Oryzias latipes: one gene and its partner. The protein of the gene in region 1 purifies or fractionates together with the protein of each later gene. This does not show direct contact. Links are inferred from orthologs where the notes say so. Each region holds a gene or a part of one and is shown on either strand. Other genes may lie near its edges.

Region 1 (4,457 bases):
GATTCAATTTTGTACGTCACTAAACTCATACTTAAAAAAAATCTTTATACTACAAAGACTATTTCAGAGAGATAAAGCATGGCAATGTTATTTAAAAGGGAGAAATATTCATCTCACCTGCGCAGGTAGACCAGACAACAGCTTTAACTCCACCCGCTTGGTTTTAACCTCAGACCGACTCTCTTCCAACAAAAGGCGAGCAGACGGGAGTATTCAAACACTAACAAGACATGATCCAGGCTCTGAACCGGCAAAAGCAAAACAAACTGGAGAACTGGGGAAGGCGGAGTCAAACTCACATGACACGCCCACCAGATGTAAAAAGTCACATTTTTATGAATCAACACGTCTACATTCACATTTTCAGGGCAGCAGAATTCTCTCATAAATATACCACATGTACGTTTTTTAATTAGACGTTGTTTCAATAACTGTATATTACAGTTTTTCTCAGTCGCTTCAGTACAATTCTCAGATCAGAATGAAATTCCCAAAACTATTTGTTCAATATTCACATCATGATGTCACTTATGCACATCATATAAGCAGTTTCTCACTTCTTTGAACAAGTTGCAGTTGCTTTGGTACATCCATGCAAATGATTATGTACAATTCTCTGCTCTTTGCTACATTATCAGTTGTTTATGTCATGTTGATCAAAAATGTATTATATAGTTCACCTTGCAACAGTCTTACTCCTCAAAACACCTAGTCATTAGTTCATCGTAAGTCGTCAACTGCAAAATGGTTGACCAAGTTGTCATAATGTGACAAACATATTTCACTGCATTGCAAGAGAGGCTATTCGCTGTGATGTGGATGAGAATTCGTGGCCTAAAATACAGGAACGACAAGAGGTGTAGGAAGACCACACCAATTCCTACTGCACTGCCTGTACTGTTGTACAGAATATTGTCCTTTCTTTTATTTTCCGTTTGTGTTACTGTTTGCGGTGTTTTTTTTTTTATGTTGGTATGACATGGTCTGTCAACAAATTACAATATGAACAATAAAAGTGTAAATGTGAATCTTGTCCAGTCTCTTGCAATCAAACAGAAAAGGTGTAACTTACATTTTACAATAATTGTCATCCAAACTTTAGCCATAGTTTACATCAGAACCTCCCTCTAAAGTACACAGTTATATTGACAACATGACTAAGTAATTTGACTGTCTTGTTCGTAGACAATGACACAAGGACTTGACATTCTGATGGCACTGACATGTTCAATGACATAAAGACTTAGTTTTGAGAGATGAACCAAAGATCTATGCTGCTGTTTGTACAAATTGTTTTGAGAAATGCACACACGTATTTGCAAACTTCAATTCTGATCTGAGAATTGTACTAGAGCAACTGAGAAAAACTGTACCTGGTTGCATGTTTAGATAAATCCGAATATAAATAGTAATTAGGGAAAAAATAATTCATATTTATTTCCTCTTTAAAAACTTTTACTTGTTAGTTTTTTCTATTTTTTTTTACCGCTGTTGACTGCGGCTACCCAATATAAACAAACAAACAAAAAAGTCAAATTAACTTTAAAAGTCCAAAGGAAATGTGTTCTTAAGTTCTCCAGGATTTACATAATTAAAAAAATTCTGTAGTTTTGTTGAATTTCCGGTTGGTGTTTGTCGCCCTCTACTGGCAGAAATCTATAACTGCAAATTGTCTGGAAATGGACGCCCACCTCCAGACTCCTTCCTTCCGCTGCATTTTCGCGGGAGTCCTCTGGGAAGGCGGGGCCACAGAGGGAAGCAAACACTTTATTGGATAGCTGAACTGGGAGCCGAGGAGGTGGCTTGCAAGCTGGCCAATAGTGGTGCACGCTTTGGTGGCACGTGATATGTAGTGGCGCGAAACTCTTTCACTTGTGTGGTTTGCCTGCAGAGGAGCACACTGCGGCGGTTAAAGAGTTTTTATTAGTTTAAAGACTTAAAAACTTAACTTTACAACAAAGATGTCGACCGACGTCGTAGATGACCAGGAAATGAGGGAGGCACAGAGGGACTATCTGGACTTCCTGGACGACGATGTGAGTCTGCGGCAAAAAACTGTTCTGTTCTGTTTCTTTGGTCTCACGTGAAGTGATTCGGTTTTGGCGAAACTAATTATTTTTTCTGTTTTAATGTTTTTCATCACGACTTTTCATTTTTAGCAAGACCAGGGCATTTACCAAAGCAAAGTCCGGGACATGATCAACGAGAACAAAGCACGACTCATCGTCAACATCAACGACCTGAGGAGACGCAACGAAGCCCGAGCTGCAAAGTCAGAAACAACACAATGCAAACACAACACACACACTTTTCTGTAAACGTAACACGTGCACACAAAACAGCGAAAATCATAGGGCGATTTCGTGATCAAAAGGAGAAATGTAACGTTTTACTCTAGTTTATCAAAACGGTGATTTGGAGTCAATTGCGGCCCTTTTGTCTCTATTGAGGCTCATTGACTTTGAAAAAAGGTTAATAATTTACATAAACATTGGGTATGTTTTTTTTAACTAATTGTCTTTATTTTAAGTCAAGTAAATCTGCTGCAGCAGGAAATATAGGTTATATTTTATTTTGGGATATATTTAGGATATATTTTATTTTGAAAGGAATTTGTTACTAGTAGAAATTAATTACATTTTAATCATGAGTGAAGATCACCTCAGGAAATTCCGTATTTCTTTAATGAATTTGAACAATTTTCCTCTAACAGACTGATGACCAACGCATTCGAGGAGCTGGTGGCGTTCCAGCGGGCTCTGAAGGATCTGGTCGCCTCTGTGGACGCCACCTACGCCAAGCAGCACGAGGAGTTCTTCGTGGGTCTGGAGGGGAGCTTCGGCGCCAAGCACGTCTCGCCGCGGACGCTGACGTCCCGCCTGCTGGGCAGCATGGTTTGTGTGGAGGGCATCATCACCAAATGTGAGCACATTTCTGTTTGTGGGATTGGCAGAAGGACGGCAGAAGCCCTGATGTGACTTTGTGGTCTGTAGGTTCTCTGGTGCGTCCCAAGGTGGTGCGCAGCGTCCACTACTGCCCGGCCACGAAGAAGACCATGGAGAGGAAGTACACTGACCTGACCTCGCTGGACGCCTTTCCCTCCAGCGCTAGTTACCCCACCAAGGTACAGGTGAAGCTGCCATCTTAGCCTCCTCAGACGCGAGCTTTGGACTGAACGTGATGCTTTCAGGACGAGGAGAACAACCCGCTGGAGACGGAGTTCGGTCTGTCCATCTACAAAGACCACCAGACCATCACAGTGCAGGAAATGCCCGAGAAGGCCCCCGCGGGCCAGCTGCCCCGCTCCGTGGACATCATCCTAGACAACGACCTGGTGGATATGGTGAAACCCGGAGACAGGGTGCAGGTGATCGGAACGTACCGCTGCCTTCCTGGAAAGAAGGGGGGATTCACCTCCGGCACCTTCAGGTGAGACACGTTTCTCTGCCGCTTTCCGGGTTTACTGAGAAACTTTGACCATTAACTCAATTCTTTTGGGTTGTAGGACGATCATGATAGCATGCAACGTGAAACAAATGAGCAAGGAGGTGTCTCCGTGCTTCTCTGCCGACGACGCTGCCAAGATCAGGAATTTCAGTCAGACTCGCTCCATTGTGCGTCATTTTCCTCCCTTTAGAACTTCCTGTTTCAGCAGACAGAGACGTTGAAACATTTGGGTTTTTCTCCCCCCTGTAGAACGTATTTGACCAGCTGGCGCGCTCTCTGGCTCCCAGCATCCACGGCCACGAGTATATCAAGAAGGCCATCCTGTGCATGCTGCTGGGAGGCGTGGAGAAGGTTCTGGAGAACGGCTCCCGCATCCGAGGGGACATCAACATCCTGCTCATCGGTAAGACCACCGCAGGAATCCAGGAGCTTCTGGGTGGACCCACTTCCATTATCTTGTGATCTATTGTAAAAAGCGCAACCCCAACCCCCCTTCACCTCCCCGTTGGTGATCGTGGGTCTTTAACCTCTGACAGGTGACCCGTCGGTGGCGAAGTCCCAGCTGCTGCGATATGTCCTCCACACGGCGCCCAGAGCCATCCCCACTACCGGGCGGGGGTCGTCTGGCGTGGGTCTCACGGCTGCCGTCACCACCGACCAGGAGACAGGTAACCCCGCCTTTTCTCTTGACTAACTCGATCGTTCTCCTTTGCTCCACCGCTCAATGGGTTTTCTCCCCCAAGGCGAGCGGCGCCTGGAGGCGGGCGCCATGGTGCTGGCCGACCGCGGCGTGGTGTGCATTGATGAATTCGACAAGATGTCCGACATGGACCGCACGGCCATCCACGAGGTGATGGAGCAGGGCCGCGTCACCATCGCGAAGGCCGGTATCCACGCACGGCTCAACGCCCGTTGCTCCGTGCTGGCCGCTGCCAATCCGGTCTACGGAAGGGTAAGCCCCTCCCCTGCAAAATCTCGCCACACTGACTCCTACTTCCTTTCATCTACTT
Region 2 (4,499 bases), on another chromosome or scaffold:
CATCTGAGCAGGAGGCGGGGTCATCGTTGTAGGGGGAGGAGTCTGTCGTCCCAGCGGACTCTGGTAAACAGCACTGCCAAACGTTGAGGGAGGGGGGTTCATTTGTGAAGCTGTGGATGGCGGAGACATGGCGATGCTGCTGGGAAAAGAAACGGGTCCAGCAGCGGTTAAGGTCGAGGAGCGTCCTGCTGGCGGGCATGGTGACTGACCAATACTGGCAAAGGGGTCAGAGGTCGTTACGGGGTTGGAGAAGTAGCTGAAGGTGGAGGAGGCCGCCGGCGGACCGTTGGCCGAGGTCTGACCCAGGAAACTGTCTTCTTCTCCAACGTCAGTAGAGTCTTCTGATGGACACAAAGACGGGTCAACGTTTTCTGACACTGAAACTGCAGGTCAGGGTTTCTGTGAGGCTTCTCTAAACATCAAACTTCAGGAGTGAAGCTTCACCGCCGTCCACAACATTTCCAGCTTTCTCCATATGATTCTAAACTTTTATGAGCACCATGACATCCTGTGTGATCCTTTCCTAAGTGGAAACGATCAAACAGGATGTTATCGAGTGGTTTTCAGGCAATAAGCATGTTGACTTCACTAAAATACATGTATAATATATAAATAAAATAAATCTCTAAAAGACAGATTCCAGCATTTTAACAACAACATTGTTTTAAATCTGAACAAAGTTCATCCATTTACAACTCTTCACTAAAAATGTTTAAACTGACTCATTTTCTTTTAACAAAAGCAGATCCAGTGTTGCAGATAAAACGCGTCACTTTTTCATCTTTTCTCTCAATCTGAGGGTTTTTAAAGGCTGAAGCAGCACAGCTAGCTAACCGGCTAGCTTAGCTAGCTAGCTCTCGCCCTGACAACATTCGGACCTCCGTCCGCGGTTCCGCTCACCTCCTGACAGCACCGCCGGGCCCGACGCCTGACTCACCGGCATGAAAGGCAGGTTAAAGCTAAAGTCTGGAGCGGCACTAAAGAGTAAATTCGCGCTGCTGTCGGGACCACTGTTATTTTTTCTATCTGCCATTTTCAGCTGGATTTACACGTAGCCACAACCGGACCAGGCTGGCAGTAAATGCGAAAGAAACGTCTCCTGACGTCACAGTTTTCCCCGATCTCCAACACTCACGCGACACTAGATTTCAGTAAACATCTTAGCAGATGTTTTATAAATCTTCGAAACATACCCGATTGGCTTGACCCGAGGGGATCAATGTTTTTGGTGCTGCCATCTAGAGGCCCGGATGATGATTCAAACTCCTTTGGTTTTTTTTTTGCACCTTTTTTCTTCTTTTGTCAGAACAAAGTAAAATCTCGTGAGAGATAACAAATTTCTACTTAATTTGTAACGACTTCGGAATCCAAACCAGTTTTTAGGGCGGTGAACAAAAGCAAAAAGTTGCTTGTGGCTCCGCGCTCCGGTTTACTCCGGTTCTCGAATCAAACCAACCCCCTCTTGGTGCGCAGTGACGCAAATTTCGCGCCTCGCTTCTGCAATCCCGAGTGAGTGAAAAACTTATCGGAGAAGTGAAGCCGCGCGGGTTTTCCTCGCACGTTTGTCTTTGATTCCACGGGTTCAGTGGCCGGTTAGCGATGCTTTCCACGCAGGACTGGATTCACGCACCTCTCGGTGTTGTTGAAGAGAAGTTTGGTGAGAAACTTCCCTCCACAAACACTTAACGCCTCAGACTAGCTCGTTAGCCGCGCGCGCGTCCAGCCGCCCTCACATGGAGCTTTTTTTTTTTCCTTTACAAACTTTATTAAATGTAACATTTCAATACACAACAATGCAAAACAGCAACAAGAAAGGAATAAACCAGGTGGTTATTATTACATTTCACACAAAGACACTGAAACTGACGCACTGGTGCCGCTGCCCGCGGTGCATCAGTTTAAAACTTTATTGACACAGTCGGTGGACATAGACGAGAATCGGGCGCGCGGAAACCTTTACTGACTGTAGAAATGTCGTTCGGGGTTCGTCAACTTTTTGTTAGATCTAAAGACGTTTTTGTTTTGTCATACTGGTTCTTTTGAAGTGACTTCATATATACAGTCTCTGATGATGACGAATTCCTTCATGAAGAACGAAACCAACAATCTTGAAGTTCATTAAACATTTACTTTATTTCATTTTTAATGCCAATGTGTTTGTTATTTTAACATTTTTTTTAAACGATCGAATAAAATGACACATTCACACATGTTAATATAAAATGCAAACCGTAGTTTAAACCTTCAGCAGCATTCATTTGCTGCCGGAAATGACGTCTTCCTTTGATGCTGCAGCGGCTGCGCAGAAGGGTTCCTCCCCCGGGTGGGAGGCGGAGGTGGTGGAGTTTTTTAAGGAGCAGCTGAAGGAGAAGAGCGCTCAGAGTTTGGTGAGGAGAGTCCTGCAGACGGCGTCTTCACCGGCCGTCCGGTTCTGACCTTGTCCTTTTCTGGACCAGGTTCCGTCTCTCAACGACGTTCCCCTGCATTACCTGAAGCCCAACAGTTTGGTGAAGTTTCGCTGCTTCATCCAGGACATGTTTGACCCGGAGTTCTACATGGGAGTGTATGAGACTGTGGACGGACCCACGGATGCTAAAGTGAGTGTGCCCCCCCCCCCCCCCCCACATCTCTAGCATCAGCTGACCCCCCTCCCCCTCATTTGTCCTGTTTGACCCCCAGATGCTGCACTGTGGGAAGTACAGGGATGTGGCAGAATGTGGGGTGAGTCTGCATCCTGCTGCTGTCCTCAAAGGTGGTGCAGCCGCTTCAGCTCAGCTGTTGGTTTGAATCCCAGGTGGACTTTAACTCCAAGAACACCGTGACGGCAGAGCGGCAGACCTTCTACTGTGTGCCCATTCCTGGGGAGAACCTGTGGGTGAAGGACATATCCTGGGATCAGGGATCAGGTTCTCTGATGACAGTGTGAACAGTTGTGTGTTGTTCCTTAACCTGAGAGCACGGATATGCGGGCAGCAGCCAGGCGCGCGTGGTGGCGTCCACCTCCTACGTGCCGAGCAGGCAGAAACGCAGCTACGAGGAGGACGAGGACATGGACACGCAGCCGCAGAAGCAAGCTCACGCAGGTGTTTGTCTTCGCCGTCTGCTGGGTGTCGAACCTTAGGCGTCCTCCCCCCTCAAACGTTCTCCAAATATTTCTGCAGGTCTTCAGGGTCCAACGGACCTGCAGAGCAACGCCGACTGTAAGCGTCAAGAGACGGAGGCTCCTCCCACCCAGGCGGCGTCCGCATCCCACCTCGACCTCAACTTCCCCCTCCCAGGAGAGAGGGGCCCCGCCTGCCTGGTGAAGGTTGGAGCTGGACGAGCGCGTTGGTGGCTCCGGTGGGAACCCTGATCCTCAGGCTGTGCTCGTTGGCAGGTGTACGAAGACTGGGAGAGCTTCAAGCTGAACGACGCCCTGGAGGTTTTCGGGATCCTGTCCGTCAGTCCCGCTCTCAGCGCCCTGGCGGAGGAGAGGTGAGGCCCTCGCTTCGTAGCCCCGCCCCCTGTCTGCGTGCTGCCCGTCTCACCGCCTTTCTTCCTCGCAGAGACGCCTCCTCGTCCTTCCTGGACCCCACGGAGGGCATGGAGACGGCGGAGGAGCAGCGTGTGCACAGCCCGCCGGCCTCGCTCGTTCCCCGGCTTCACGTGCTCCACGCCAAACCGCTGCAACACAACAACCCGCTGCTGCCGCACGCAACCTCGGACGACAACGGCGCCTGTAAGGACGCGTGTTTTTGTAGAAACAGAAATGATTCCAGACTAGAAGAAAACGCCGAAACACCAAAACCAGTAAATTCTGTCGCTTCCGTGGAAATTCATCAGCATCACGCAGGAACTCAAGACGTTTGACCTGGAGGACATCTGCCCCCCCCCCTGCTCCACCCTCCTTACACGTCTGCCCCCCCCTTCTCCACCCTCCTTACACGTCTCCCCCCCCCCGCTCCACCTCTTACACATCTGCCCCCCCTGCTCCACCCTCCTTACACGTCTGCCCCCCCCCCTGCTCCACCCTCCTTACACGTCTGCCCCCCCTGCTCCACCCTCCTTACACGTCTGCCCCCACCTGCTCCACCCTCCTTACACATCTGCCCCCCCTGCTCCACCCTCCTTACACGTCTGCCCCCCCCCTCCACCTCTTACACATCTGCCCCCCTTGCTCCACCTCCTTACACGTCTGCCCCCCCCCGCTCCACCCTCCTTACACGTCTGCCCCCCCCGCTCCACCTCTTACACGTCTGCCCCCTCCTCTCCACCCTCCTTACACGTCTGCCCCCCCTCCTCCACCTCTATACATCTGCCCCCCCTGCTCCACCTCTATACATCTGCCCCCCCGCTCCACCTCTTACACATCTGCCCCCCCGCTCCACCTCTTACACGTCTGCCCCCCACCTGCTCCACCCTCCTTACACATCTGCCCCCCTGCTCCACCCTCCTTACACGTCTGTCCCCCCCCGCTCCACCTCTTACACATCTGCCCCCCCTGCTCCACCCTCCTTACA

The links.
Region 2: the proteins of mcm3 (region 1) and mcmbp purify together in Homo sapiens (affinity purification with mass spectrometry; 10 studies listed by BioGRID and IntAct, counting the BioPlex papers as one, with this or other methods). This does not show direct contact. The link is inferred for Oryzias latipes from reciprocal best matches to the Homo sapiens genes MCM3 and MCMBP.

Annotation. Positions count from the first base shown.
Region 1 is NC_019882.2:13,463,993-13,468,449, reverse strand, and holds the start of mcm3 (DNA replication licensing factor MCM3), read left to right. Parts: upstream 1-1,542; 5' UTR 1,543-1,961; coding exon 1,962-2,036; intron 2,037-2,159; coding exon 2,160-2,272; intron 2,273-2,713; coding exon 2,714-2,922; intron 2,923-2,993; coding exon 2,994-3,124; intron 3,125-3,190; coding exon 3,191-3,429; intron 3,430-3,505; coding exon 3,506-3,614; intron 3,615-3,696; coding exon 3,697-3,850; intron 3,851-3,983; coding exon 3,984-4,115; intron 4,116-4,190; coding exon 4,191-4,399; intron 4,400-4,457. UniProt on the Homo sapiens protein: Acts as a component of the MCM2-7 complex (MCM complex) which is the replicative helicase essential for 'once per cell cycle' DNA replication initiation and elongation in eukaryotic cells.
Region 2 is NC_019873.2:29,884,309-29,888,807, reverse strand, and holds the start of mcmbp (mini-chromosome maintenance complex-binding protein), read left to right. Parts: upstream 1-1,446; 5' UTR 1,447-1,599; coding exon 1,600-1,657; intron 1,658-2,295; coding exon 2,296-2,387; intron 2,388-2,456; coding exon 2,457-2,597; intron 2,598-2,679; coding exon 2,680-2,721; intron 2,722-2,794; coding exon 2,795-2,884; intron 2,885-2,959; coding exon 2,960-3,083; intron 3,084-3,161; coding exon 3,162-3,307; intron 3,308-3,376; coding exon 3,377-3,474; intron 3,475-3,545; coding exon 3,546-3,718; intron 3,719-4,499. Other genes in the region: sec23ip (SEC23-interacting protein), read right to left, coding at 1-341, 901-1,033. UniProt on the Homo sapiens protein: Associated component of the MCM complex that acts as a regulator of DNA replication.